3 linked regions of the Diceros bicornis minor genome follow. The protein of the gene in region 3 purifies or fractionates together with the protein of the main gene of each other region. This does not show direct contact. Links are inferred from orthologs where the notes say so. Each region holds a gene or a part of one and is shown on either strand. Other genes may lie near its edges.

What was found. The genes of interacting proteins can lie anywhere in the genome.
Region 1: the proteins of UBQLN2 (region 3) and RAD23A purify together in Homo sapiens (affinity purification with mass spectrometry; 3 studies listed by BioGRID and IntAct, with this or other methods). This does not show direct contact. The link is inferred for Diceros bicornis minor from reciprocal best matches to the Homo sapiens genes UBQLN2 and RAD23A.
Region 2: the proteins of UBQLN2 (region 3) and HERPUD1 purify together in Homo sapiens (affinity purification with mass spectrometry; 3 studies listed by BioGRID, with this or other methods). This does not show direct contact. The link is inferred for Diceros bicornis minor from reciprocal best matches to the Homo sapiens genes UBQLN2 and HERPUD1.

Annotation. Positions count from the first base shown.
Region 1 is NC_080769.1:4,459,984-4,470,706, forward strand, and holds the start of RAD23A (UV excision repair protein RAD23 homolog A), read right to left. Parts: upstream 4,420-10,723; 5' UTR 4,331-4,419; coding exon 4,259-4,330; intron 2,870-4,258; coding exon 2,708-2,869; intron 2,540-2,707; coding exon 2,358-2,539; intron 2,219-2,357; coding exon 2,163-2,218; intron 2,034-2,162; coding exon 1,906-2,033; intron 1,628-1,905; coding exon 1,549-1,627; intron 1,422-1,548; coding exon 1,288-1,421; intron 1-1,287. Other genes in the region: CALR (calreticulin), read right to left, coding at 6,707-6,907, 6,992-7,084, 7,699-7,842, 7,929-8,042, 8,124-8,333, 8,424-8,518, 8,922-9,125, 9,284-9,385 and 1 more. UniProt on the Homo sapiens protein: Multiubiquitin chain receptor involved in modulation of proteasomal degradation. Binds to 'Lys-48'-linked polyubiquitin chains in a length-dependent manner and with a lower affinity to 'Lys-63'-linked polyubiquitin chains.
Region 2 is NC_080771.1:10,448,347-10,458,211, reverse strand, and holds the start of HERPUD1 (homocysteine-responsive endoplasmic reticulum-resident ubiquitin-like domain member 1 protein), read right to left. Parts: upstream 4,420-9,865; 5' UTR 4,324-4,419; coding exon 4,177-4,323; intron 1,263-4,176; coding exon 1,185-1,262; intron 1,097-1,184; coding exon 1,022-1,096; intron 41-1,021; coding exon 1-40. UniProt on the Homo sapiens protein: Component of the endoplasmic reticulum quality control (ERQC) system also called ER-associated degradation (ERAD) involved in ubiquitin-dependent degradation of misfolded endoplasmic reticulum proteins.
Region 3 is NC_080781.1:48,326,007-48,336,547, forward strand, and holds UBQLN2 (ubiquilin-2), read left to right. Parts: upstream 1-6,290; 5' UTR 6,291-6,564; coding exon 6,565-8,445; 3' UTR 8,446-9,761; downstream 9,762-10,541. UniProt on the Homo sapiens protein: Plays an important role in the regulation of different protein degradation mechanisms and pathways including ubiquitin-proteasome system (UPS), autophagy and the endoplasmic reticulum-associated protein degradation (ERAD) pathway.

The DNA of each region.
Region 1 (10,723 bases), on a different chromosome or scaffold from region 3:
GCAGATCACAGAGGAAGGCAGGGACCAGACCTGCTTTCTTTTAGGACCTTCTAGTGCAATGGGACACCATGCTGGTGACAGTTAAATACAGAAAGACTCGATCTGTGTACTTTTCAAAAAGATTAACTCATCTGAGTGTCGTGTATCTGGGGGTTCTGATACAACTCTCTCTAGTTTAAGGTATATCTGACAATGTTCACATCGAGGAAAAAAGAGCTTTTTCAGAAATCTGGCTCCTGGTGCAGAATGGACCCTGGGGCTGTGCAGAAGCAGAGGCCTGGGCGGCGGCTGCCAGGGAACCCAGAGGGAGATGAGGCGGCAGCCACGGAGGGGGAGCGCAGGGCTGGGCTGAGTGAGATGTTCTGGAAGCAGAGCAGACAGGAAAGGCGATGGACGGCCCAGCAGGCCCCCAGGGCCTGGGGCTTGAGCAACCCCAGGCTGGTCCCTGTGGGGATGGGGAAGGCTGGGAGGAGGACCTGTTCTGAAGTCTTAGACATCTAGAGAGCACTATAACAAAGGCATCAAGCAAGTCAGCCATGGATGAGCGCGGCACCCACAGGTCTGGGCTGGTGACACAGATTTGGGGTCACCAGACTGAAAGCCCCAAGACAAGATGCGGGAAGGACCAAGTGCAGATAATGAACAGAAAGGTTTGCAGCTTAGGCCCTCTAACATCTGGAGGGGTGAGCAGGAGGAGCCACCACAAGAGCCCGAGAGGTAGGGGAAAAGCAGTGGACAACGGCTCCCAGACCAGGAAAGGCAGGCCTTCACAGAGGACCCAGAGGACCGTCACACCTGGGGATACTGCCCCTCTGCCTAGGATCCTTCAAGGACAGGGTGGAGCCTTGCTGAGCAGAGTGGTGCCAGAGCCAACAGGGGCACAGCGGTCCTGGGGGCTGCCAGGCAACACTCTAGACATTCATGAAGCACCACCTGTATGCAGAGCCAAGCCACAGCCAGAGCCACAAGACCCAGAAGGAAAAGCAGAGGATGCAGCGGCTGGACGAGACACACACTCCACCAGCTGCCCAGCTGCTCCAGACCTCTGGCGTCTTCCTCTGTGGGGGGCGACACACCTGCACCTCACCGGGTGGTGGGGAGGACTACACGAAGCTGGGTAGGCCCAGGGCATTAGGTCGCAGGAAGCAGCGGGGGGCTAAGTCTCACTTTCCAAATACAGACAGACTCCGACATGCCAGGCCAGGCCAGGCCAGGCTTGCTCTCTGGGGCTGCGGCACCCACAGGGGAGGGGCTGTGCCTGCACGGGCTCCGCCCCCAGAGCCGTACCTGCAAAAGCTGAGGGTTCTCCTGGCCCAGCTGCTGGAGCAGGGCCGGCAGCAGTGCCGGGTTCTGCTGAATCACCTGCCGCATGTTCTGGAATTGCGGCTGGTCTCGCAGGAACTCCAGGGGGTTCTCTCCCGCTGGCAGGAACAAGGTGTGTGGTCAGATACCACACTGGACTCCCAGAAGCACGGGGGTGGGGGGTGGGGGGGAATCAGATGTCTCGACAGCAGACAGCCCCCCACGAACGGCTCCCAGTCCACTCACCTGTTTCTGTGGTCGGCGGCTCAGACACCTGGCTCTCCTGGACAGAACCGGGTTCTGGCTCAGGGCTCCCAGGAATTCCCTGTCAGGGGTCCCGTTTAGTTCCAACACACAGACCGCCCACCATCTCCCTCCTGCGTGCTCAGCCCTGGCAGGAGACAGGTGAGGCCTGGGCCCTCCCTCCACTTCCCTCCCTCCCCCACCCGCTGCTCATGTGCAGCCTCCCGCAGGAAGCCTTCCTGGCTGGAACCACGACCCAAATACTTTTGGGGGCAGGTTTTGCCTCCCTGACCACCCCCCAGAGCATTGAAGCCCACGTCCTCCCTCGAGGCCTCCCCAGGAAGCAGCAGCCCCCCTCACCGTGAGCAGATACTCCACGGCCCGGTGGGGGTTGTTGTAGCTGGCTCTCAGGGCGGCCACGACACGCTCCCGCTCATAGCCCATGGACATGATCTCCGTCAGCATCGTCTCATACTCTGAGCCCGTCACTGTGGAGGGAGCGGCGAGGCCTGGGTCACCAAGGAGAGAGGACAGCTCCCAGGCCCTCCCACACCCATACAGGGCCCAGCTGATGGCTCGGGCGCCCAGTCACTCTGCCCTGGGGACCACCCACCCACCTAGCGTGGAGGCCGCGTCTTCCTCTCGCCCGCTGCTACCTGAAGAGGGAACAGAGCTGCAAATTCAAGAAAGAGAAATCGGACCCTGGCTTCTGGCTGCTTGCCCTCCCCCCAGGTGTGTGGGATCACGTAAGTGGGCGCTGGAACATGCTGGGAGAACAGGGCCCAAGCTGGGACTGCCGCTCCTTGCCTTACCCTGACACGGACTCCGGGGACGTCGTGGGGACTGATTCCTCCGATGGGCTCTTGTCCTCTCTGTCGGTGGGTGGGGGTTGGGACATGCCTGAGGCAGGGGCCGGAGGGAAGGTTGTGGAGGACTCTGGGGCAGCAGTGGGTGAGGCCTCTGGGGGTACTGAAGTGCTTGGGCTAGTTTTGGCCTGTGACACCCAGAAAAAGAGAGCAGACATCAGTATCCCTATCTAGCGCCCACACCCCGCCCCGTCTCAGCCCCGCCTGTTCACGGCTAATCTCTCCTGGGCACACACAGCTCTCTGCCAGCTCCCCAGCTAATCCACCCACCCTTCCAACGAGCACACTGCACCCACCTTGGTCACCATGACGACCACAAAATTCTTCTCATCGATGCGATAGTCCCTAATGGGGACATCATCGCTCAAGATCTTGCCAGCATAGATGAGTTTCTGTCCGGCCACAGGGAAGGCATCACGACCCTTCTCAGCTTCTATCTTTTCCTTTAGCACTTTCACCTGCAGGGACGGGGACAGTCATTGCAAACCCCAAGAGTCTCTCTCCCTTCCTAGCTTGGGGGGGAGAGGCTGCAGGCCCTGACGGCAGAGGCTACACTTCGTAGTCAAGCACGCTGGATTTGAGTTTGTTCCTTCATCTCACCACTCAGCAGGGTATTTACTGAGCACTCGTTATGGATCAGGGGCTGTTTCAGGCACTGAGAAGCACAGCAGGGAACAGAACTTCACGCAAGTCCCTGCGCTCATGGAGGTGACACTAATGTGGGGAGATGAAAAAAACAAATATATATCTCAGATGGCGAAAAGTATGATGAAAAGTCTATCAAAATACAGGGGCAGATGGAAGGGTTCCTCATTCCACACTACTGACAACGGTGTTTTTACTGAATGCATCGTAAGGTGATAGCGCTTTCATAAACGTATACACATCACGCTTTTAGAGCCTCATAATAACTGTATGACATGGACATCATTAGCCTCATTTTACAGTATTTGAGAAAACAAGGCACAGAGAGGTTAAGTAACTTGCTGCAAGTCAAACAGTTGGTCGGGACAAAAAAAAAAAAGAGTGTTTCCTCTCCCACCAAAAGCGGACTTCAACGTCTCCCTCATGACGTAGTTGTGCAAAAAGCACCAGGGACATAGTCAGACACTTGACATACTTGTGACGTCCTAAGTCTCTTCCAGCTAAAAAGGCAACATAACGTTCAGACCAGGGGCTCTCACACGAGCAGGAGCGAATTTGCATCCCAGCTCTGCCATAACTTGCTGTCCGCGACTATGGCACAGTGCCTCAACCCCTAGATTTCCGCATCTGCAAATTAGGGCGAGTCAGAGGCCCAAATGACAAGCCTGTTTTGCACATTTAGTAAGATAATAACACTACAGCACTCTGCGACTGGAAAAGAATAAACGGCCAGCAAACACAGACCACTGAAACGCACACGATTTATTGTCATTATCGTCGTCGTTGCCGTCACCACTCGGCATCTCCTGGTCACTACTCCCAGGTTCGGCCACCAGCGTCCCGAGGAGACGCCTGCAAAGCTGGGAGCTCGGAGACCCGGTCCTGGAGAGCGCGGCGGGGCCGGGAATCTGAGCCTGCGGCTCCCGCGCCCCGTGAGGGCGCTGACACTGGAGCCGGAGCCTGGCGGGCGCCCGGGGGTGGGGCCTCGCCCGGAGCCCAGCCCCTGAGCACCGCCCAAGTGGAGTCGCCAGGGGTTGGGCTAGGCTGGGCACCATCGGGGGGTCCCGGAAAGTCAGGCAGGGTGGGCAGGGTCCGGCCCGCGCCGACCTCCCCGCCCCTCCCGTCGGGATCCCGGCCTCCCCGCCCCCACCCCACGCCCAGCACCCGTCGCTCCCCCCCCCAGGCTCCGGCCCGGCTCGCACCGTCTCGTCAGGCTCCATGCGGATCTTGAAGGTCTGCTGCTGCAGCGTTTTGAGCGTGATGGTGACGGCCATGGCGGGGCCCGAGCGACGCGGCAGCCCCGGGATCCTCACACAACATGCAACTCACGCCGCCGCCATCTTAGCGCCCAGCCGCGCCGCACGCCTACCGCTTCCGGGGCAAGCGGTGCGCGCGCCGACCACCAGAGCACGTGACCTGCGCGCGCCCCCTTGGCCTCCTTAGGCATGCGCACGAGAGCGCCCTCGGGCCAGGCATGCGCAGATTAGAGACCGCTCCGCGGGAGGGGAGGGGGCTTCTCGCTCAGCGCGCACACCCATCAGGTGGCTTCTTGCGAGTGACGCCATGCCCGTTAGCGGTGACGTCATGCGGCCACAAAATGGCTCCGGGGTCCCCACTTTCACGCCCTTATTAGCTTGTTATTTGTGGATAACGTTGAACAAAATTTTTCATGTACTTGCTCTAGATATTTGTATTTCTTCCATAAAATCCTTGTTCGTGTTTTTTTGCTGCTCCCAAATGAGTTTTATTCTGGTCTGGCCACCCTGACAGGAACCCTGTCAAGCACTGAAAAGTGGAAATTCTAAGGAACAAGTCTGGCCGTGGAAGCAAGGACATCGGGCCATTTGGTGGCGTCGTTCATTCCTGAGGGACAGCTGGATTTGGGGAAGGAACCTGCAGTTCTAGTTCCTGGGTCTCCCAGTTCTCTGCTGTCCCACCCCACTATCTCCAGTCTGATCCCCAAAGTATTTAAGAAAGATGTTAACTTTCAAGGTCTCCCTACATTGAATACAGAATTCCCTCAACTTGCCCTGGATGCACAACTCTGCAGGCTTCCCAGAGGGCTGGGGCTGGGCCACAGGACAGAAACTTGAAGGAGGCCCATCCAAGGAACAAGGAATTAAAGTGTTGGCTGGCCAAAGGTGAAGACGGGGCTTGGGGGACTGGATGGAGGTGAGAGTGGGCTTATCTCACAGCTGGTTGGGGGGGAGGGGCCCTATCCTGCTCTGACCCTTGCCTGCCTCCAAACTTCTTCTCAGAGTTTCCATTCAAGCTGGGCACCAGGCAGTCACGTGATACCTCACCCACTGCCCCACTGTAACCAGGTCCTGCTGCCTCTCCCTTCACTGCATGCCCTGGCACAGAAGCTTCTACCAGAATAGGCCAGGCTCAGCTGACGGCTTCTTACCTCTCTCCTGCAACAAGGGACATCAGCTTCCAACCACTCACAGGCCTTCAGTGGCAGCCTTGTGGACCTTAGGCCAGCCTCAGGGGCCCAGACACCACTCTGCTATCTCTGCACCCCCCCTCAGGGCCACCTTTCCCTTCAAGAGGTTCAAATCCAAACTTCACCACTGAAGACCACGGACAAGCTATATACTGTCTCTGAGCCGACCTCCTTGATTATAAAGGAATTAATAGCTTTTACCACTGGCTGGTATTAAGAAAATCTTTAAAATTGTCCAATTGCTCTACCCAGTCTTGCCTTACCTTGATAGGTAAGAAATATGTATGGTTCAGTAACAGGGACAGGATGAGATGGTGGCTCAGGTGTGGGTTCATACCCGTGCCCCACCTCTTACCAGACTGTGGACCTCAGTCTCCTCAAACTGAATTGGTACTAGAACCGAAACTCATCACTTTGGTGCAAGGACTCTGAGTTAATACGTGGAATATCTGTAATGGCATTTAAAAGTTACTCTTCTCCCACTAGTCTGGGGTTGTGGGGGTAAACAAGGGCCCCTCTAACCTTATGGGACACTCAGCCAACTTTAGTGGCTGAAAAATGAGTCTTACTCAAGAGTCACCTCCCCCAGAAGGAGACACAGGAGGAAGACACAAAACTTAATTTAATAGAAATTCTGTTTGTAGTTCTTACATTCTCAGTGTGAACCGAGCTGGAACCTGCTGCCCCACCCAGAAGTGGCCCAGTCCTGGGAGCAGGGGAGAAAGGGAGGGGGTGGGGAGGTCAGAGCTCACGCCCTAGAGCTCAGGGCCTAGGAGCCCCATTCTTGCTCAGTGCTGGGCGACTGGGGACGCCACCCTCTTCTCCTGCCCTGCTCTGGGAGCCAGGACCGAGAGCAGATGGAATCTCGGGCCTGGGGCTTCTCCTCCACACCCCTCATGCCCCCAGATTGGAAAGGAACTAAGGGATCTGGGGAAAGAAGGGACCAGAAGGCGGCAAAGATGTCAATCAAGAAAGATGAGAACCCTGGGGTGAAGATAAAGGAGCACGAGACAAAACACCAGGTTAAAAAAAAAAAAAAAAAAAAAAAAAGCGGGAACAACAAAACTAAAATCCACCCCAAATTGGAACCCGCCTGGAAAAAAATGAAAGTTCTCCAGTCTCATAGAGACATTATTTGGCGTGGCCGGCTCTGCGGCAGGAGCGCTCAGGCCTCAGTCCAGCCCCGGAGGCGGTGGCACGGCCCCTACAGCTCATCCTTGGCCTGGCCAGCGGCAGCGTCTTCCTCCTCATCCTCCTCCTTGTCGTCCTCATCGTCCTCGTCCTCCTCCTTGTCGTCCTCATCTTCCTTGTCCGCCTCCTCCTCCTCCTTACGCTTCTTGTCTTCCTCCTCCTCCTTTAGCCTCTGCTCCTCGTCCTGCTTGTCCTTCATCTGCTTTTCCGCCGCCTGCGTGCAGACCACACGCTCAGGGCCTGGCCCCCGCGTGCCAGCCCTGCCCACCCCCAGCCCAGGACCGGACCCTGGGCCCACCTTCGTGACGCCCCACGTCTCGTTGCCAAACTCCTCTGCATACGCCTCGTCGTTGGTGATGAGAAAGTTGTCAAAGATGGTGCCAGACTTGACCTGGGGGGACAGGGGGAGAGAGGGAGGGGTGGTCAGAGGGGGCACCCCATGGTCCTGGCCTTGGACAGGGCTCCTACCCGCGTCCCCATAACCACTACACAACGCTGCAGTCTAAGTGCGGTTAAAACACACATAACCTGGGTTCGAACCCCAGCTCCTCCATTTCCTGCCTGTATGACCTCGGGCTGGTCACTTCCTTGCACCTCAGTTTCTTCCTCTGTAAGATGGGGTCTCACTCCTTGTTCAAGCATTGTTCCAGTTCCTACTATGTGCCATTCTAGGCACAAAAGGTGTATCAGTAAAAAAGAAACAAAAGTTTAGTCCCATGAAGCTAATTTTCTAATGGAGTTATCTAATCACCTTCTAGGTTGTTGGCACCAGTTAACAGGGTTGATCTGCATAAAGGTACTAGGAGAAGTACCTGGCACGTAAACAGAACCTGTAAGTGGCTGCTGTGACAACTCCATAGAGACAGAGCAAGAAATTCTTCAGAAAGAGCACCACCTTGGGGTCAGACTTGCCTAGGGTTCAATGCTACCCCTGTCCCTTTTCTCCTGCGTGACTCGGAGCACCTGAAGTCCCCTAGGAGTCCTCCTCTTCCCTCTATGTCTCACCTGCCAGAGATCCAGGCCCAGTACAGCAAAGTTTTCATAGGCGTAGATGTTGCTATCTGGAGAGTATTCGGGGTTGTCGATCTCTGGGTGGATCCACGTGCCCTTGTAATCTGGGTTGTCGATCTGCCGGGGCTTCCACTCGCCCTGCAGAGGGAGAAGGGAACCGGACGGTGAGCGGGACAGTGCACTCCTCACTGTGTGCTCCCGGCTGCTCCGAGCCCCAGACTCACCTTGTACTCTGGGTTCTGGATCACTGGTGGTTCCCATTCTCCGTCCATCTCTTCGTCCCAGTCCTCTGGCTTCTTAGCATCGGGATCAGGAATGTGCTCAGGCTTGTCCCAGTCCTGAGGGCACACGAGGAGGTCAGAGTTGGCCCCACTCTCCTCCACACCCTCCACGGTGGGGGGCCCTGCCCAAGCACCAACCTCAGGCTTGGAATCTGTGGGGTCATCAATCTTAGCCCGTTCGTCCCAGTCTTCGGGCTTCGCAGCATTGGGATCCTTTATTTTCTTGGGGGGCAGGAAGTCCCAATCGTCCTCCAAGGAGCCCGACTCCACCTGGCTGTTGTCAATCTTCACCTCATAGGTGTTATCTGGCCGCACGATCAGTGTGTACAGGTGTGTGAATTCATCGTCCTGGAGAGGGCGGGAGGTGAGTGGCCCCGCCCACCAGGCTGGCCTCTGAGCCTCCCCCTGGCAGCCCTCTGTCACCACCCCCAGGCACACCTTGCAACGGATGTCCTTGTTGATGAGCACGTTCTTGCCCTTGTAGTTGAAGATGACATGAACCTTCTTAGTGCCAGGGCCACAGATGTCCGGGCCTAGGTGACAAGCAGGTTCAGTTCAAGCTAGAGGCTGCCCACCATTGTGAGCCCCTCCACCCCTCTTTACAAAAAGAAGACAAGATTCAGACTCTGACTCTCTCTAACCGGCTGTGGGTGGAGCCTTAAGGAAAAAAAAAAAAATCAGTACTCCAGAACTCGATATCCTTATTTGTAAAACTGGGAAATGCCTACACAAGACCACACGAGTTAAGTCTTACACTGACAACAGCAATGCAACAAACCACTCCTGTGACTATCCTCCCAGCTTCCCCTCCAACGAAAAGCCTATTTTAAGCTTTGCTAAGCTCTCAAGACCACCTTTCACGGGCTATGAGGAACTCACGGGGTCTCACTCTCCCTTTAACTAATCAAAGGTCAGCCCCGGGGCGGGGCCCCTCACCAAACATGATGTTGTATTCAGAGTCTCCATGCATGTCCGTCTGGTCCAAACTATCCGGAAACAGCTTCACGTAGCCGCCCCCACAATCGATGTTCTGCTCGTGTTTCACAGTGAACTGCACCACCAGCGTCTGGCCCTTATTGCTGAAGGGTTCAAATCTAGCCGACAGGGCGTAAAAGCGGGCATCCTGGCTCGTCTGCAGCCCTAGCAGAAGACGGCAGTGAGGTCACGGCTCGGCCCCAAACCCCGGGGACCCTAAGGACTGCAGATACAGGCGACTCCCCCTTCCTCCACCTACCCTGCTCCTAGAACTTCCTCCAGGAAGTTCTGCTGGATCTGAGCACCCACTCGCAGGCTCTTACCTTTATCTTTCTCCTGGTCACCGTAGAACTTGCCGGAACTGAGGACGAATTTACCGAAATCCGACTTGTGTTTGGACTCGATCCAGCGCTCGGCCCACCCGTCTGGGGGATCAGAGGACCCGGTCAGTGCGGCCGTGCTGATCCCTCCCACCAAACCTTTCCCAGGAACCACAAACTGCAGGGGGGCAGGAAAGGAGATTCTCCCCTCCCAGTGCCCCCACGCCAACCTCGAGTTTGACACCTCCAGTGACTTAAGAGATCCTCGGGCGAACCCCAACTCCCGCGGCGGGAGGCCGCTGCACCCTCCACGCTCCCCAGGGACGCAGAAGGAAGAACAGCCTGCGGCTCTAGTTCCCCGGAGCCCCGTGTTGGCCCTCTGAGCAGTAATTACAGGCGACAACGCAGCTCTGGGCTGGTGGGCCGGCCGCGTCGTTGCGGCGGCCTCGAGGCGGCCCTAGGCGTTACCTCCGTCCAAAAACTGCTCCTTGAAGTAGATGGCGGGTTCGGCGGCGACCAGGCCCAGAAGGCCGAGCAGCAGCGGCGCGGGCAGCAGCATGGCGGGCCGAGGGGGCGGCGGCGCGCGGGCCCTTTAAGTCGCTCCTCCGGCAGCAGCTCTGCAGTAGGGGCGGACGCTGCTACCGGCCGCGCGCTTTTATACCCGACCGCCCCTCAAAGCAACCTGGCCCGGCCTCTTGGCCCGCCCTCCACGCCTTATCATTGGCCTGCGGCCCCGGCCCTGCCTTCCCATTCGGCCGTTCTCGGCTCAGCAAGTTAGGCTGTGCCTCGGAACGCTGGGTTCCCAGATGGCCGATTTCTATTGGCCGCACCACTAGCCAATGACGGTCGACCACGCGTTGTGGGGGACGCCCACCGGTGGGGTGGGGAGCCTCGAGCCCCTCAGACCCCATGGGTCATGTGACCAGACCTCGGCCCAACCCCGCCCTCGCCCGGGAGCTTAGCTCCGGCTCTGGGCGTTTAAAGAAACCGCGCGAGCGCAGGTGTCGCCGTGCAGGACCGGGACCTTGTCCCCGCCCCGCCCCGTCCCATGCCCTCTGCGGGGAGGGGTGGGCAAGATTTTCCCAACCTCTTTCTACCCTGCATTTGGGGCACTCCCCCTCCGACTCTCTCTCTCTCTCTTTTCTTTCTCTCGCTCTGTTTGCTCCCGCCCAGGACGGGCAGAGGGCACAAGAGCTCAGGGGCTGGGGCCCTGGGGCCTCACTTCACCGTGGCGCCGCAGCCTTGCAGGCCGAGTTCTCTCCTCCGTGTGGTGCGTGCGGCCCCTGATGCCCTGTCAGACTGCTGCTGTGTGACCTGGGGCAAGTCACTTAGCCTCTCTGAAGTCTTAGGAGCTCCTGAGAGGCCAGGAGGAGCGACTGTGGCCAGCTGATGCCCGGGAGAAATGCTTTCAAAGCTTTTAGGGATGTCTTGGGCCAGAGGAAA
Region 2 (9,865 bases), on a different chromosome or scaffold from region 3:
CCTGATTAAGACCAGCGGGCTGCTCTGTGGATGCAGCAACCTACACAAGTGTAATACGAACATGAGAACAAAGGGTCTGATGCAATCACCTGAAATCAAGCTAAAACGTTATTTTGCTGTGAATGGCTTATGTTGCCCACCCCAACCTCTGAACTTGACAAAATTAAATGATGCAATGTTACGTAAAAAATATTCTGAAATTTGTTCAACACAATTTCAATATATAGACACCAAAAAAAATTCATATTTTTTCCTAGAGTAACTATGCTATAATTTCACTAAAGTCTTCCAATGTAGTTATCACTAGTGAGAAAGCTTCCTGATAATGTTCTATACATCTTATGGTATCAAATTTACTGAATCAAGAAATTAAATTTGACCTACAAGACTTATACATACAACCCGGCCAGCAACCTAAAGGAAAGAATTTCCTATGCTATGCTTAGATGTTTCAGGAAATAGTTGTAATGCAAATTTACAGAGCATCATCACATGAGAATTAACAGTGCACAATCGAATCAATGCTGTAAAGTGAAAAATAAATGATTTTGACTGTCAAACATAAATAAGTCTTTAGAGATTACCTGATAAAGACTGTGGCCTTTTCCTAACCAACTAAATAAATAATCACAATGAAAATTTCCAAAGGAAATACATTCACTTTTTTACTCTTTATAAAAATTAATGGTTCCTTAGAAGAAACTTATTACGTGCCAAATTCAAGAGTGCCAGGCTAGTTCAGGGATCTGGACACACAGCTACGGCAGGTCAAATCATATCCCAGAAGTAGTGTCCCAGAGAACTCTGTTTTCCCACTCCACTATTGCAAGTCTCCTACTATTATAGTAAATCCCCATTGCATCGATAACAGTTTCTAATGCCTGATTCTCACGGGGGAAGAAACAAAATACTACATGATAAAAAGGCTATAAAATCTTAAGAGTTGTATCCAACTTCCTTTATTTCTACCTTGAGGCTCTCAATGACACAGATTGTTACAATCATGAAAAAGCAGACAGACCTTTGTGCTGGTTTCTGGCGTCTTTGAAGGACTCTTCACACTGCACACCAGATGCAAAACATGCCGTTTTTCCTGCTAAAAGTGATAAGGAGGGACTGTAGGACCTGAATTAAACTTGGTAAGTGCTTCAAAACACTCAAAAGTTAATATGTAAGTGATGTACCTTGGGAAGCAAGTCCCCGAGACACTGGTGATCCAACAGCAGCTTCCCAGAGTGAATTAACCTCTGGTCCTCTGGGCACTGATGGAAAGAAAGAGGGGCAGAGGTAAGCATTCAGCCCCCACAGGTTCCCAAACAGAGGAAATTGCTTTAGACAAATAATTTGAATATGTGTGGTTTTTTCCAGCATCACAGGAAAACATTTTTTCAAAGGCCCCACAGACAACACTTTTATTTAGAAAGTGCTTAACTTTAAACTGATCTCTAACACGCAAATAAATTTAGGATGCAAATCATCTCCAGTCCACAGAACCTATGGCAACCTTGACTTCTTAACGCTCAGGGAAATTGCTTTCTGCCACTAAAAACACAGATTTTATTTGGGGCTCTTATAGTGACTAACTTCAAAACCTTGTATGGTCTCAGAGAAAACTCAAAGTCCTCCCAAGGTCAGCTTTCACCAAAACCACCCCGCACTGTCCCAAGACAACACGAAGCAATTCTAAACTTAAGGCCTCAAAGAGACTTTTCCTGACAAAGAAATGCAGTTAGAGAGGAAATGGCGTGTGGGTGACATTTCACACAACAACCCTGGGAGATTTCGTGTCCTTATTTTAAGGGGGGAAAGTCTGAAACTGACTTGTGCAAGGTCACCTGCTGCTAAGAGTCAAGATTCCAAGCCCTCTTCTCCCTCCGGTGATTTAACACCACAGGGGCACCACACGCCTTTATACAAATCTCACTTTTCAAATCCATTTATTTATTTATTTTGTGTGCGTGAGGAAGATTAGCCCTGAGCTAATCTTTTTGCGGAGGAAGATTGGCCCTGGGCTAACATCTGTGCCCATCTTCCTCTACTTTATACGGAATGCCACCACAGCATGGCTTGACAAGTGGTGTGTTGGTCTGAGCCCAGGATCTGAACCTGCGAACCCCGGGCCACAGAAGAGGAGTGTGTGAACTTAACCACTACACCACCAGGCCAGCCCCCTAAAATCTATTTTTAATTCCTTAAAAACTGTACTTAAAAATAATGGCCTCAAAGTCAGTGCACAAGAGATCACCACCAAGTTGTCAACCCACTCTTGCCAGAATAACCAATTCTGCAAAATTTAGAATAAAGCTGCTCCTTCCAAATAGCTTAAGTTTATAAAGAAAGCTATTTAAAAGAAACAAAACAATAACTGTGTCTATTTATCTGCATAAACCAGGATTTTTTGACACTGTGCAACTACAACAAACTACAGAAACATATTAGGTGCTGTGTTCAGCATTGTTCTCACTGACTTTATAGGTAAAGGGTCTACACATGAATTTGTGCATTGCTATTGCAGAGCTGGGGTCCTGCATGACATTCAAGATTCCATACCAGGAAAGGTTGGAAAACCACAGCTGCCTGTGATTTCAACTGTTTTCCCTGTTAAAGGCCTGAATTGACACTGTGTCTTTACCCACGGGGCTGATTTGAAAAAAATTAAGCATGTTAAGCAAACTACTATTATAAAGTAAGGCTTGTCACATCAGAAAACAAATGATGAGTGCGCTCCAGTCCTAACTTTCACACAAATTTACCTGACAGACCTTTTATTACAACTGTGAGTCTTCAGACCTAATAGGAGTGATGCTTCTCACCCAAGGAAGCCCTTAAGGAAAGCTCTCCTCCAAAACACTGCCTTTTACCAAATGATGCAACCAGACTACACCCGCCAACTTGTGTACCTAACAGCCATTCTCACCGCAACACGGCCACCTGGTTTCTTGGAAGCTGCTATGGTGAAACTGCAAATAACGCCCAGGAGAATGCTCAAGGAATGGAAGCTTATTAAATAAATAAGCAAATTTCCAAAGAACAACTCAGAAGGAAAACTGGCTTCTACACTCTTGACAGTATGGGAAAAAAACCCTGACCCATGAGCTACCACAAATAGCAACTCTTCAGATAAGAAGGGACAGTTTCACAATCTTTTCCTGCCCTGATGCCCTCTCCTGTTTGATGGAGAGAGACCCACACTTGCGGGCAGTAAAGAACACTGCTGACACTTACATAATATTAGAGTAGAAAGTAAATACAGGAAGGTCCAGCTCAGGCCTCCATCACGTGGTGGGGAGAGGGCGGTGCTAAGGGAGATGTTGACAGATGTGTCAACCAAAACAAAGCCAGGAGTCTCCGCAATTGAGGGAGCCAAGTCTTCAAGCCAGACTCAAGAAGACTCCTTCCGCCGGTTTCCCTTCTAAATCCGTCTTCACCAGAAAGTGCACCAGACTCTTCCCTGGGACTAAGCAAAGGCTGCGGAGTCCAGCGCGACGGGGAGGGGCCCAGGGCGGAAGGTGGACACGGAGGGGAAGAGCCACGTCTCGCTCCTGGGTGTGGGACCTTAAGTACACACTGCCTGGGCGTTCATCATGTTTCTCTAGCCACTGGCCCGGGGCTGGCACCTGCCCTCCCCTCTCCGCACTGAGACGCTACATTCGGAAAACTCATTTCACAGCATGCATGTTTTCTTAGCTCTGCCCACGGGATGCGATCCTAATGAGGAACACCCAGTCGCCCTGTCGTTTTGGGGAAACTGAGGCTTGGAAGGTGAAATGACTCACCCAAGGGCAAACTGCTGTTTCAGCGGCTGGGCTAAGGCTGGGAGCCAGATCGAGGGGACAGGCAGGGGTTTGGGGGAGGTGGGCAGGGGTGTGACAGCCCTAGGGGTTTGGCGACACGGGAGGCGAGGTGACAGGGGAAGGCAGCCCATCAGGAAGGCGCGGCGATGGCAGCCTAGGATGAGGAAGTGACAGCCCCTGGGCCAAGAGAGGAGGCGCCTAGGGCTGTAAGGCAGGAAGGCGATGACCACAGCCCTGGGGGAGGTGACCTGGGAAGTACCAGCGGTCGGGGGAAGGCCGGCGAAGGCAGAGGCTATAGGGTCTGGGAGGCGGACGCTGCATCCCTAGGGGAACGCGAGGAGGGCTGGAGGGATGACAGCGGGGCTCGGGGGGTCCCTCTCACCGGGCGCTCGGGGTAGACGCGGCTCAGATGAGCCTTGAGGCGGCCCACGCTCCAGCTGCGGTCGCCGCTCAGCTCCAAGTCGCGGTGGCGCTGGTTGGGGCTCTTGACCAGGAGCGTGACTGGCTCGGGCTCGGGCTCCAGCTCCATGTCTGCTGCGCTGTGCGCTCGGCTGCGCTCCCAGATGCCAGGCAGGCAGGCAGGCGGCGTCCCAGGCGCCAAAACCCCCACAACGACAGTTCACGTCTCTTGGGCGCGCACCCCCGCCTCGGGAGCCCTTTATAGGCACCCCGCGCCCGCCCCCTGAGGAGCGAACGCTCTGTGGCTGCCGCCCATTGGCTGAGGCTCAGGCCACTTCCCCAACGTGGCCCAATCGGCGCCCGGATCCGTGGGCGGAGGGGCGGGGCGAGCACGTGGGCGCGGGCTGATGCAACCCGCCGCCGGTGCGTCACCCGGGGTCGCGGCTGGTGCCCGGGAGCCCGGGTTCGGTAGCCATGTTGGGGTGTTCTGCGGCCCGCGCCGGAGGAAGGGGATCGCTTCCGACCTCGGCTTGCTCAAGGCGCCTTAGGGAAGGCCAGCTTGGCCCACTGCCTGTTTGGCAGCCTCTGAAAATTGTTTCCTCACAAAGCAGCACCCCCGCCCCTTTTGATCCCAGGCACCGAGGCCCACTTCCCCTTTCCCTCCCCCGGTGGCCCGGACGGCAGGGCCCACAGCCTGCCCTACAGGGGAGGCCTCCCCACGCTACCCCAGCTTCGGCTCACAGAATGGTTGGGCAGACCTCATTTGCAAGTCCACCTGGAAGGGCGTCCACGGTGCGCCTTGGAAGGGCCAAGAAGAAGCAGGGAGGCTTCTTCCGGGGCTGAGGACGGAGGCATCCGAACCACTGTTGCCAACATTTACGGCCTCGGACTTGAACGTCACATCCTCAAGTGTGAGACATCACCCTTGTGAATGGCGAGCACGCCACAGTCCGGCCTACTCTGGGAGACACTTGAAAAGAGCCTCACTGTGGGACACTGACAGGGATCCTTTACATTGGGGCTGAGACTGGGAGAGCAGGGTTCTCCGTGTTCTAAAATGTGACCACAAAGGCCTCTCTGATGTTGACACTCCCTTCCTCTCCTCTCTAGGAAGAAACTCTTGAAAAACAAAACTGCGTTGCGCCGGCCCCATCCTTGTTCCAGTCCCGTTGGGACATCTGCTTCTCCAGGTGTGTCGGCAGCTTGGCCAGGGCAGGAGGGTAACAGCAGGAGCGTGGTCTGGTTGGTGGGTGTATTAGTGTGCTAGGGCTGCCGTAACAGAGTGCCACAAACTGGGTGACTTAAAAGACAGAAATTTGTCTCCCAGTTCTAGACACTGGAAGTCTGAGATCAAAGTGTTGGGCGGGGTTGGTTCCTTCTGAGGGCTGTAAAGGCGAATCTGTTCCATGCCTCTCTCCCAGCTTCTGGTGGTTTGCTGGCAATCTTCGGCATTCCTTGGTGTGTAGCTGTATCACACCATCCTTGCCTTCATGGTCACGTGGCGTTCTCCCGGTGTTAGTGCCTTCACATCGTTTTCCCTCTATGCATGTCTGTCTCCGTGTCCCAATTTCCCCCCTTTTTATAAGGACACCAGTCATTTTGGATTAGGATCCACTCTAATGACCTCATCTTAGTTTCATCATCTGCAAAGACCCCACTTCCAAATAATGGTCACGTTCATAGACGCTGGGAGGTTAGGACTTCAGCAACATCTTTTTGGAGGACACATTTCAATCCATAACCGTCGGCCTTAACGTAACATAGAACATGGGGTGGTTTCCTTTTCAGCTGGCTTTATACTAAGAAAGGAGGTAGAAGGCTTTGCAGATAAATTGTCTCTGTGCTCAGCTTTCTGTGGTTGGTTTTTGTCTGCTGAGGAAGGCTCTGTCGCTTTTCATCAGGGTGGCTTCATGGGTGTGGGACCTGGGCAGTCACAGGGGGTCCCACTCTTGGTTTAATGCTCTGCTGTTACCGTCTGAAAATTCTTAGTAAATTTTGAACAAGAATCCTTGCATTTTCATTTTGAACTGGGTCCCACAAATTGTGTAGCTGGTCCTGCTTTTCATACACCAGGATGGAAGAAAATGACTGATTATGATCTGGTAGCCTTGCTACTAGCTAGAAGCTGATCAGTGGAGCCAGGCCAGATAAAAGCAGCAGAGGCCTTAGGGAGGCAGCCAGGCAGGAGATAACACCTTCACTGGGGAATTAAGTACGCCACATAGCATAGTTTTCTCCAGCCTGCAGTGACAAGCATTAGCGCCCTTTAAGACAGCACATCCATTTCCACTCAGTAGGAAGAAAGTATAGGGGTGTGGTTTTTTTTCCCTAGGGAAAAGGCAATCCCATTTCTGTGATTCCCTCTTGAGTTATTTCCCAATGAAATAGCTCTTTTTAAAAAAAAAAAAAAACAGATATGCATATATTTCAGAGTGGAATTCAACCTTCACATACATTTTTAAATCTCTATTGAGGTAACATGCATACAGATAAATACATATATCATAAGGGTACAGTTCAATGACTTTTAACTGAATACATCCATGGAACCAGCACCCAGATCAAGAAACAGAACATTACCAGGGGGTGGGGGCAAAAGGGGTAAAGGGGCACATACGTATGGTGATGGGTGAAAACTAGACTATTGGTGGTGATCTACACAGAAACTGAAATTTAATGATGTACTCTTGAAATTTACACAATGTTATAAGCCAATATGTTCTCAATAAAGTAATTAAAAAACAAAAAACAAAAAAACCAGAACATTACCAACATCCCAGAAGCCACTCTTGTGCCTTTTCCAGATGCTACCCTCCAAGGGTAACCAATATCCCTATATTTAACTTTATATAAATGAGTTATACTATGTGTTTATTGTCTGGCTTCTTTTGCTCAACATTATGTTTGTGAGATCCATCCATATTGTTGCATGTCGTTGAAGGTCGTTCATTCTTGTTGCTGTATGGTACCCCATTGTGTCAGATAGCTCCTTTTAAACGACTTTGGTGATTCTGCTTACAGCACATTTAGAAAAATTAAATGCAAGTCAACAACATGCCAGAAATAGAAAGATAAACACGGAGTGACCCTGCTTTCAGTGACCTTACAAATATAACGGGGGTGATAAGACAGCACAAAAATACAGAAATAAAAGACAACCCAACAGTCTCACACATTTCTGAAGGACTTCTGATTACACTGAGGGTTTACATAGAGGCAGGAGGAGAAGTGGGGGAGAGACAGAGAAAAGTTGATGGAAGAGGTGAATTTGAGCTGAACTTTGAAGGGTGGGTGGGATTTGAGTAAAAAGAGTAATGGCAGTAATTATGTATTAAGCCCAATAGGGCATCTGTACGCAGAATTTGCATGGGCAAGCATAGCTATGTGGTTGAACTCATGGGCCCAGAGCAAGACTGTGTTTCCAAACCCAGCTTTTGCAGCTTATGACCTGTGTGACCTGAGGCAAGTGACTTAACCTCTCTGTCTCTGATTTTCCTCATCTGTAAAAAAGGAATAATAGTAATAGTAGCTATTTGATAGGGTGGTTGTGAGGCTTAAATAACATAACATTGCTAATGGTCTTGGGACAGGCCCGGATACTTAATAAGTGCTAAATAAATTTTAGCCATTAATATTTAAGGAACTGCAATGAATCCCCTCCAGTGGTTTCCTAACCCGCCTGTGAAACAGAATCACCCAAGGAACTCTTTTATTTTTTAAAGTGAAGGTTCCTATGACACCAAGTATTGGTGAAGACATGGAGCAATTGGAACTCTCATATGTGGCTGGTAGGAGTGTAAAATGGTACAGCCCCTGTGAAAATCAGTCTGGCATTTTCTCATAAAGTTAAACACACATCTATCCTACAAGCCAGCCATTGTACTCTTAGAGATTTACCCAAAAGACATGAAAGACTTGCACAAGAATGTTCATGGCAGCTTTACTCATGATAGCGGCAAACACTGGGAACAGTCCAGGTGTCCATCACAAGAAGACTAGATAAACAAACGATAGTGTATCTGCACAATGGAATACTACTCAGTAATAAAAAGGAATGAACTACCGATACGCACAGCAACATGAATGCACCTCAGACACATGCTGAGTGAAAAAAAATCAGACAAAAGAAGTACATATTATATGATTCCATTCATATGAAACTCTAGAGTACACAAAACAAATCTATGCCTGTGGATGAAGGGCGCCTGACTTGAAAGAGGCATGGCAACGGTGTGCGGAAGTCAGCTGGTACTGGTTCACAGAACTGGTTGTGAGTTTCTCTTCCCAACTCTGCTATCAGTGACATCACATTGATAGCTTGAAACTGGCCATGGTGGGAACAATTACACCACAGAGATCAGCAAATGCTATAAAGCAGAGCTTTTTTCCTCCAGGAAGTCAGTAGTTAAATTTTTACCAACACACCACTGGGCATGAAGGAAATTTCTGGGGTGGTGAAGTGTTCTCTGTCTTGGTAGGATGTAGGTTACACAGGCATAGGCATTGTCAAAATGGATCAAGCAGTACACTTAAGATTTGTGCATTTCACTGCGTATAGATTATACCTCAACTAAATATGTAAAAAAAAATAGGATGGGTGTCTGGGTCCCGTTTCAGGCCTACTAAATGGCCTGATGCATCGAAGTGGGGACTAGTTCAAGGGTCCGGTCTGGGAACCACTGGCAAAATGTGACAGTAAGTACAGGGTTTATTTTTAAATAATAATGATAAGTGAGCAAGAGGTAAGATGGGAAAGAATTTTGGGGACCACCTGAGGAAGGACTTGGAGTGGTTACCCTTGGGAGTTTGTGAGCAGTGGAGGATTTTGAGCAGTAGAAGAGACATGATCCGCGTCAGTATGGATCCACATCGTTGTGGAGGCAGGTTTGATGGGGAGAAACTTGGAGCCAGGAGGCCCGACTGGTTCATTCAAGGGGAAATGTGGATTAGCACTAGGATGGGCCAAAAAAAGAAAAGTGAAAAAAAAAGGAAAAAAAAAAACACACTGCAGAAAGACAGCAGGAGGGAAAGGAGTTTCGTAACAAAGATTGTTCATGAATAGAGATAATGGCTAACACTGTGGGGTGCTTTCCACAGGCCAGCCACACAGCTTTAAGAACCTTCATGACTTTATTCATTTAATCCTCACAGCAACCTTATGAAGTAGAATGCTATTATTATTTCCATCTTACAGCTGGGGAAACTAAGGCACAGAGCGTTAAGTAACTTGCACCAGTCAAAGAGCTAGTAACTCTTTGAAATCATTATTTTTTAATTAACTGGTACTGAGGTTTAATTTACATACAGTAACATACATGGATCTCAAGTGTACAGTTCAAAGAGTTTTGGCAGGTAGCTTCGCCTGTGTAACGCACACCCCTAATAAGATGAAGAACATTCCCATCACCCCAAAAGGCTTCCTGGTGCCCCTTCCCAGTCAACCCGCATGCTCCCACCACTCCTGGTCCCAGGCGTTTCTGATCTGCTTTCTGTCACTCCAATTTGGTTGTGCCTGTTCTAGGAGTTCTTATGAATGAAATCATATAGTACATATTTTTTTGTGTCTCACAAAGATAGACATTCAAGCAGATCAGGGAAAGAAATATAGTGAGCTGAAGGGAAATCCATATTCTTAAGTGAGATTTCTGGAAATGTGGAAAGAACTAGGGAAA
Region 3 (10,541 bases):
TTTTTCCCCAACCAGCCAGATTTATCCCCTTTTCCATTTTTTTCTCAACTTCTGTGTTACCAGATTTTCTCTCTTTGATTACTCCTGTATATTTTGACTGTTGTTACACCATACATTAAGTTCTTGCCTACATGTGGCAAGTCTATGTGTGTGACTATGTATTCCAACTGGCAACACAATCCTATAAACTTCTACAATAATGTGTTACTAATTTATTAATTTTAATTGGAAAAAAACTGTACTTACTTATTTCATTGATGTTGCTCTTTCTGAGCAGCATTGTCAGTACTAAAGACTACAATGAGGTTCGTTTCCACTGCGCTCTACTTAAAGAACTACAAAAGGAGGGCTATTTGATTACCTTTTGAGAATTAAATTGTAGAATCCACACATCATTAATCAGAGAAAAGAGATGCAAAATCAACTGAGGAGAAATAATGACTCTCAGCCCCCTAAAGCAGAAGTATACTAAGACCTGATTGGCTGTATTAGAATCTTAAGAAAGAATGAGGGAATCTGAAGGGGCTGAAGAATTTGGTCAGCCACAAAAGCACAGGAAAGGAGGGTCACTGATGTAAACATTGGCAGTATCCAATGGATAAAGGTGTCTTAAGCCGTTAAACCTCTAGTATTTCTAATCCCATGAGCAAGACTATCTCTGTTGGGAGATGGATATACAGCACTAGCATGGATTTAATGCCAATAAACTTTTGGTTTATGATTTTATGAATCTCAGTTTACCTAACAACCATCTTACTACACCCCGTCACACATCTTTCAGATGATTTTGCCTGTGTCTTCTCTGATCAATGATGTGCTGGCCTACAATTTACACTCAAAGGGCAATCAAAGATCCCTCATTTTCTTGTTCTAATTTTTATTTGGCTTTCCATTTAGCTTTGTAAAGGGAAAATGTGCTTAATGCATAGACTTGAGTATTTCCAGTAGATGTGAAAGTGCTATTTCTCACTGAAAATTAATAAATTGATGTTCTGGTGTCTATCACAATCTCATCTGCTTTTTCACTTTCTTGAGTCAGTCTATAAGGGCCTTAACCATTCTGGACGCTGACAAGAGTGAGTCTTTGGACTTGCAAAGCAGATGACCAAAGCCAGCAAGGCAGCTGTTAAATCAGCGATCTTCAAACATTTTTGCTTATGTACTTCCATAACAGAATTTTGAGCCACTGCATACCCCATGACACATATTTAAGCTGACATCTCAAGTTTGTCATCATATATTTAAATAATTGCATAAATGTAATTTCTGAAGTATTATGAATATTGACATTTTGAAATAAACTGTATATCACTCTCTTAAATATATCCAACAGAATCTACATACTATAGCAATTTGAGATCCACCATCATTTGTTTTTAAAATACATTAACAGACTCTTCTTTAATAATTGGATAATTTATAATTTCTCTTTTTCCTTTGATGTATATTTCCATTTATTATCACCACAGAATTTTTCTCCTAATTTTATATTTTTTAATATTAAAAAGACTTTCATTGATCACCCTATTATACTTTCCTACAATAAAAATTATATAAACTAAAATTAATTTTAAGGGTTAAGAAATTTTTCTGTATTAACTTATCATTACAATTACTGTTAGTACACAATTGATCAAAATAATATAAATATATCACCAACTTTGATAAATATTAAATATAAAGAGGTAAAATTTAATTGGAAATTCATTTGAGGGCTTTCTGATTAGTTTATTTATCCAAACAAGAATATTACTCATTGCTAGCAAGTCTTTTCCTTCTATGTGTTTTTATAAATATGAGCACTAAAATATATAATAAGTAAACGAGCAGATAGGAATGGAAGGACTTTGTTATAGTAATTTCCTTTTATCTTTGAGTTCCTTGCAAATAATATGCCAAAAATCACATAATGATCCATCTTCAAAAATTATTTTAATGATCTATCATCTGAAAATTCAATTATGTCCTCCTTCAATTTTGTCCAAGGCAAAGAATTGGAAATCACAGACTTGCAAAATGATTTATTACCTAGTCATTAGACTCATTCAGTTTCTCAACATGGACACCAATATATATTTCAAATTGTTCCTTTTTTGACTCAAGGTTTTTACACCCAGAGGCAATGAAACGTAGAAAAATCTTGAATGTGTGACAGAAGTATGCCTTTATTTTGTAAAGTGGGAAAAGGTCAATTGCAAAAGGGGATGCCTTGACCTTAGGGATATTTTCTGGCAGATCAATTTTAAGAAAGAAGATATATGGATATCAGCTATCTAGAAATTGAGTCCCTTTAAACTATTTTTATCATCCTACTGTTTGAAAAGAATTTGTGTAGACAAACGCAAGTTTGAAGATTTGCCTTAGATAATACTGCTATCACTTCTGTATCTACTGTCACAACTGATTTTTACCATTAACAATGGATATTACCTTTGCAAAAATCTGAATTTTCCTAACTTTAGTATCTTTGTTTTACCCTCCACCATCTACAGACCACAAGACTTTTCCTGTAAACATTGCATTCTCCTTTGATTTGTACTTAGGTATTTTCAATGTCTGATGGTTTGGACTACAACATCACAATTCACCAACAGATGCCATCTGTAGATGCCAATCTGAGGATTTCAGGACATATAAAAGTAAAAACCAGTTGTCTTACTTATCTAATACAGAGATTTGCCAATGAAAGCAGTCACCTTGGAAAGAGATTTGTTTTACAATTCAAGTACAGTTTAACTCCTTTTATTTCTCTGTTGCCATTGGAGATTCCCAAGTATCTTCTTTCTTTTTTCTGATTTTCTCCACTGACACAGGAGTCTTGGGAATCCACCTGTAAATACATGTGGAGGAAGTGTCCCCTCCCACTGCTACCAGGTGTATTTCTGTTGGTATTCTGATTTGCATCTTGGAATCAGTCTTTACATACAACGTTTTCAATGGTGACACACCCTCATTTGACTATAATGTAGCTAACTTCAGCTTTTAACCATGTTGTAAATTAAATAGACTTCATAGAGCAGTCCTGGAATCTTAACCTCTGCTTTATGTAATTATTTGTATGTTTATATAATTGTTTCATCTCAGAGCATTTTTAATGCCTACAATATCCCCTTAACATTCTATCCTTAAGGAGATTAAGTCTTGATAGGGAGATGTTGGTCAAAGGGTACAAACTTCTAGTTAACAAGATGAATAAGTTCCGGGTATCTAATGTACAGCATGGTGATTATAGTTAATAATACTGTATTATATACTTGAAACTTGCTAAGAGAGTAGATCTTAAATGTTCTCACTACAAAAAAGAAAAGGTAATTATGTGAATGACGCAGTTATTAGTTAATGCCCCCATGGTAATCATTTTTCAGAATATGTGTGTCAAATCAATGAGTTGTACACCTTAAACTTACACAATGTTGTATGTCAATTATATCTCAATAAATCTGGGTGTGAGGGAGAAAACAACAATGGCCAAAATAACACTAAATCTCTAATATTGTCTACTGAGCCCAAACTTTGGTCTCCCCCATACGGAGACCCTCTTTGACAAAGTCTTTCAGTTTCTCAGAAATTACCCTTCTACGGAGGGACTCCAGGATGATTGCTATTTATTCTTAATTCTGCTCTCTAATAAAGAATGTAAAGTAGGAAAAAAAGAAATATGCTTTTGGGAGACTTCTAGAAGAGGGTGAGTGTGCTTTTGCCCCTGTGCTGTGTTCTTTGGTGAGGGTTGTAAGAGAATCACCAAACTAATAATGGGACATCTATTTGACTTGCTTCTTCAAATAACTTAGATTTATGTAACAAATTTTATTTTTTCTCTCTGTTGATTCACTAATTTTTGCTTTTATTATTTTGTAGGCTGCACCCGGCTTCCTTCTTTTCTGTTGTCTTCTTTATTTGAATGCCTAATTCATTTATTTTCACTTTTTGTTATTTGGTATTTAAGGTCTTTGAGTGTATAAATTTGACTCTGAGTTCATTCACATAGTATTTGGTAAATCAAGTATCATTAAACTGGAGCTTGATAAGAATGTAGATTCCTGAGCACCGCTTATTTTGGTAGGTTTGGAGTGGGCCCTAGAAATCTGTATTTATAACAAGATCCTCAAACCACATGTAGGGAAATCTCGTCATAATTTTTGATGTATATGTTCTCATTATCATTATTTTTCTAAATTCACTCTAATAAGAACTTTGATTTACACTTTGTCCCAAAACTATTTAATTCTGTTTTAATTTTCAAGTGGTTGAGTTTTTCGTTTACACTTTCATTATTAATATCTAGTTTTGTTCTATTAAGATCAAAGAAGATGATGTGATATTTTCTTAATTTTTTAAGAAAAATAAAAAATATACAACAGTATTATAACAAATACACATATCTCTACTACCTAGAATTAACTATTGCTATTTTGCTATACTTGCTGACGTTTTAAAGATGAAATACATTTTTACAGATTTAATCCAATTTCCTTTTAATCACTATCATATGTCCTATTCCATATTCTCTTACTCATGGGTGCAAGTTTAGCATGAATCGTTCTAGTATATTTCCAATAGCTTCACATACATATGAATGCATCTATAAACACCAGGGTGTTGTGCTAATTAATTAGATTTTTGGGATCTATACATAATATATTTAGATCTAGTTCATTCCTTTATCTTCTGTATTCTATTAATCATATTAATCATACTATATTAATCCATTCCTCTATTGATAGACATCACATACCAGTATTTTTTTTCTTATCTTGAGACTTATTAATGTACTTATGGCCTAAGGACTTGCAAATGCTGTTAAATGCTGGCTGGATACTAAGGAGAAAAAGTATTTTCTGTATGGTATAAACCAGAGTTAGAAATTTATACATAAATTTGAAATTATTTGTTCTATTATTCACATGCTACATCTTTATTTCTCCTACTTAATCTGTAACTAAATTAGGTAAATATGTTAATGTCTGCCACTACTATTGTGTGCCTGTCAATTTCTACCTAGAACCTCCCCCCAAAATACCTTGTGATCTTTTAAAAGTTATAAATGCAGTGCATACTTATAAAAGCCATCAGAAAATTTAAAATTTTATTAAAAATAAGAAAGGACTAGTTATTCATAATTTCAGCAATAAGTGATAACCACCATTAACATACTGGTGTATAGCATTCCAGATTTCTTTTTACACATGCACTCAAAGACAGTTTATATATACAAACTGTTTAAAAAATAGTTTCAAAATAAAAATATATTTGTTGTATTTTTTGGTATTGAAACATACAGGCTTGTATAATTTATAACTATACAGAAATATATAAAGCTGAAAGTGAAAGTATTCTGTGATTTCCCTATAACTACTGTTTATGTGATGTATACCTTTAAAGGAACTTGATATCATATAAATTAACCTCCCATTTTTAATCATACTGCATATTATCTTATTGTATGTTAACATCATATTTCACTAATTCTGTGTAAACAGAAATTGATTATCTTTTAAAATAATGTTTTTAATTGTTGCAGTGTATATACATTATATATATATTTTTGCATCCTTATCCAACTATTTTCATAGACGAGGTCTCTAAATGAGGCATTTCTAAACAAAAGTGGAAATATTTAAAATGTTGGTATATATCTTCAAATTGCCTTATAACAACTTGCACTTCAATTGGCATGAGAGTACATTTTTTCTGCTCTCTGTTGAAGATAATGTTTACCATTATTTTTCATCTTTGCCATATTCTTGCCAATATGATAAGGCAGAAGTAAAATCTCATTGTTTTAATTTGAATTTCTTTGATTACTAGTGAGCTTAATCATCCTTTTATATGCCCAGTGGCCATTTGCACTTCTTTTGTAACATGCACGCTCCTCCCAGTCTTCTCCCCGTCCTGCATCGGGAATGTTAATCTTTTCCTTTTTGCTTTGTCAGAATTCTTTATTTTTCATCTTTTACATAGGGTTGGTTCGATCCAGGCTTTCATCCTTTCACTGCCTTATGGACTGAAAATATATGTATATTCTCCCTTGGTCTTTTAATGTCCTTTACAGAAGCTGGCTCCCTTTCCTCTATCCCTCCCTCCTTCTCTCTCTTTTCTCTTTTCTTCTCTCTTTGCTTCTTCCTCTCTTCGTTTCTCTCTCTCTCTCTTTTTTCAGTACACAAGTTTTTAATTTTGACTGAGTCGAATCTATCATTCCGGGCCTGGCACCGCGTCAGCAGAGGGGGGCGGGGAGGTGAGCGCGAAACTGGGGGAGGGGAAGGGGCGGGGAGGAGCCGGCGGAGCGGCTGCAGGAGTTGCTGGGAGTGCGCGCGGTGGGATCACAAGCCGGCGGCGGAGGCCCAGAGACGCGAGCGAGGGGACCTCGGCCGGCGGCCTACACAGATCCCTCTCTCCACTGGAGGACCAGGGAACCGCAGTCTTCATCACAGAGGTACCGTGCTCCGCGCTCCCCGCCCGGCCCTGCCCAGCCTGCTGTGGCGGCGCCTGCTTCCTTCCTCCTTCCCTCGCTCTCTCTCTTGCCCGCCCGCGCCTTCCCTGTCTGCCTGCGTCACCGCGGCCGCCATGGCTGAGAACGGCGAGAGCAGCGGTCCCCCGCGCCCCTCCCGTGGCCCTGCTGCAGCCCAAGGCCCTGCTTCTGCTCCGGCCGAGCCCAAAATCATCAAAGTCACTGTGAAGACCCCCAAAGAGAAAGAGGAGTTCGCGGTGCCCGAGAATAGCTCAGTTCAACAGTTTAAGGAAGCGATTTCGAAACGCTTCAAATCCCAAACCGATCAGCTAGTGCTGATTTTTGCCGGAAAAATCTTAAAAGATCAAGATACCTTGATCCAGCACGGCATCCATGATGGACTGACTGTTCACCTTGTCATCAAAAGCCAGAACCGACCTCAGGCCCAGTCCACACAGCCTAGTAATGCCGCGGGAACTAATACTACCTCCGCGTCGACTCCCAGGAATAACTCTACACCTATTTCCACAAATAGCAACCCGTTTGGTTTGGGGAGCTTGGGAGGACTTGCAGGCCTTAGCAGCCTGGGCTTGAGCTCCACCAACTTCTCTGAGCTCCAGAACCAGATGCAGCAGCAGCTTCTGTCCAGCCCTGAGATGATGATACAAATCATGGAAAATCCCTTTGTTCAGAGCATGCTTTCGAATCCCGATCTAATGAGGCAGCTCATTATGGCCAATCCACAGATGCAACAATTGATTCAGAGAAACCCAGAAATCAGTCACCTGCTCAACAACCCAGATATAATGAGGCAGACCCTGGAAATCGCCAGGAATCCAGCCATGATGCAAGAGATGATGAGAAATCAGGACCTGGCTCTCAGCAATCTCGAAAGCATCCCAGGTGGCTACAATGCCTTACGGCGCATGTACACTGACATTCAAGAACCCATGCTGAATGCCGCACAAGAGCAGTTTGGGGGTAATCCGTTTGCCTCGGTGGGGAGCAGTTCTTCCTCTGGAGAAGGCACGCAGCCTTCTCGCACAGAAAATCGAGATCCACTACCCAATCCATGGGCGCCACCACCGGCTACCCAGAGTTCTGCAACCACCAGCACAACGATGAGCAGTGGCAGTGGCAGTGGGTCTGGCAGTAGCTCCACCGGTGCTACCGGGAACACCGTGGCTGCAGCCAATTATGTCGCCAGCATCTTCAGTACCCCAGGAATGCAGAGCTTGCTGCAACAGATAACTGAAAACCCCCAGCTGATCCAGAATATGCTGTCTGCGCCCTACATGAGAAGCATGATGCAGTCGCTGAGCCAGAATCCAGATTTGGCTGCACAGATGATGCTGAGTAGCCCAGTGTTCACTGCAAATCCTCAGCTGCAGGAGCAGATGCGTCCACAGCTCCCGGCTTTCCTGCAGCAGATGCAGAATCCAGACACACTCTCAGCTATGTCAAACCCAAGAGCAATGCAGGCTTTAATGCAGATCCAGCAGGGGCTACAAACTTTAGCCACTGAAGCGCCTGGCCTCATTCCAAGCTTCACTCCAGGTGTGGGGGTGGGGGTTCTGGGAACTGCTATAGGCCCTGTAGGCCCAGTCACACCCATAGGCCCCATAGGCCCCATAGTCCCGTTTACCCCCATAGGCCCTATTGGGCCCATAGGACCCACTGGCCCTGCAGGTCCCCCTGGCTCCACTGGCTCCAGCGGCCCCCCTGGGCCCACCATATCTAGTTCTGCACCCCGTGAGACCACAAGCCCAACATCAGAATCTGGACCCAACCAGCAGTTCATTCAGCAAATGGTGCAGGCTCTGGCTGGAGTAAATCCTCCACAGCTGCCGAATCCAGAAGTCAGATTTCAGCAACAACTGGAACAGCTCAACGCAATGGGGTTCTTAAACCGTGAAGCAAACTTGCAGGCTCTAATAGCAACAGGAGGCGACATCAATGCAGCCATTGAGAGGCTGCTGGGCTCCCAGCCATCTTAATCACATTTCTGTACCTTGAAAAAATGTATCTTATTTTTGATAATGGCTCTTAAATCTTTAAACACACAAAAAAATTGTGCTTTACTTTCATTTTGATTCTTTTACATCTGTCTAGTTATGAATCTAATATGCATTTTAAGATGGAATCCATCCCTCCCTCTCTCTCTCCCTCCCTCTTTGTTTCTTTCCCTCCCTCCTTCCTTCTTTGTTTCCTTCCTTCCTTCCCTCCCTCCCTCCTTCCCTCCCTCTTTGTTTCCTTCCTTCCTTCCCTCCTTCCTTTTTCATTCCTTCTCTGTTTTGATGGTGGGAATCAATGCTGTTTCACTCAAAGGTGTTGCATGCAAACACTTCTCTTTATTCTGCATTTATTGTGATTTTTGGAAACAGGTATCAACCTTCACAGTTGGGTGAACAAGTTTTGTCCTACAGATGTCCAGTTTCTTTGCATTTTAAACATTAGCCTATGATAGTAATTTAATGTAGAATGAAAATAATTAAAAGCAAAAGCAAATTATTTGAAGCTCTCTAATTTGTGGTACAATATTGCTTATCGTGACTTTGGCATGTATTTTTGCTAGCAAAATGCTGTAAGATTTATACCATTCTTTGATCTTTTTTGCTATTTGTACACAGTACAGTAAGCACAATTGGAACTGTACATCTAGAAATATTACAACAGAATCTCTGAGCAGAATATGTGTAACCAAATTCAGAAAAAATATAAGAAATATTTCTGGAGCTAGGTATGTCTCACAATTTTGTAGAATCTTACAGCATCTTTGATAAACTTCTCAGTGAAAATGTTGGCTAGGCAAGTTCAGTTAAAATATAGTAGAAATGTTTATCCTGATTATTTCTAAATATACATTTAATTGTACAGAAAACTTAAAGTGTGACATTGCGTCAACATTTGCAGATTGAATGTATATGACCTTAATCTTTGTGCAGCCCGAAGGATCAGTGTAGTAATGCCAGGAAAGTGCTTTTTACCTAAGACTTCTGCTGAGCTTCTCCCATAAAAAGACCCTAATACACATTTTGATTTGTAATTGGAAATGTAACTTTCACTGAAAGTGTTATGTGATGTTTGCATTACTTTTAACTGCTGCGTATAAAGGAAACTGTATGTTTTGACTCTATCAGTTATTTCTCTTGTGCACAGGGAAAAATGCATTAAAATGACAAAAAATAAAAAAATTAAAAATGGATAAATCTTTTCCTTTTTTCCTTCTGGCCGTAGGATCATGTTTAGAAGGATTGCCCCACCCCAAGTTTTATATAAATTTTATCCTATATCTCTCTTATTTTAATGGTTTTGTTAAAAAAAAAGGTTTTTTTGCCCTATCTGGAATTATTTTGATGTATGGATTTAGGTATTCTAACTTTTTTTTTTCCCAAAGGGTTAACCGGTTGTTAGCCGGTTTTTGTCTCATTGTCCACCACCCCCATTTGAAATGTCATACACATATACACTTTCTTCTGTGTTTGAATTCTCTTGAGTACCACTGAACATTGTAGCCCCAGTACACCAGCCTATAGTTATTGAGTTAGAAATATGATTTCATATCTGTTAGGGCAGATCCTCCTATTGATCATTTTTATTTTTGTTTTTCACAATTTTCTGATAATTCTGACATGTTTATTTTACCAGATGAACTTTACAGTTAATAGGTTTCCCCTGCAAAATAAATTGGGAATTTGGTTGGGATTGTCTTCAATTAATATGATGGTGAAAACTACGAATGCAATGCTTTCCAGAAACATGATATGTTGCCTCATTTTTGAAAAGGTTTTACATCCTTCAAGAGAGTTTTGTTTATTTAAGTCCTGTATAATTTGTGATAAATGTATTCCTAGGGAATACAGACATACAGGAAACAATACTGCGATTGGGAGCTCTTAATTCACTGTGTTACGTATGTGGTCACTTTTGCTATATAGGGGAAAAATGTGCTTTCATAGATTAATTTTAAATTGGCAATTTACTGAAATCATTAATTTCTGAGATATTCAGTTGATCCTTTGAGTTTTTCCTGGTAAGCAATAATATCAATGATAAGTTATAATATGTTCTCCTTCTTTTCAAAATTTATAAC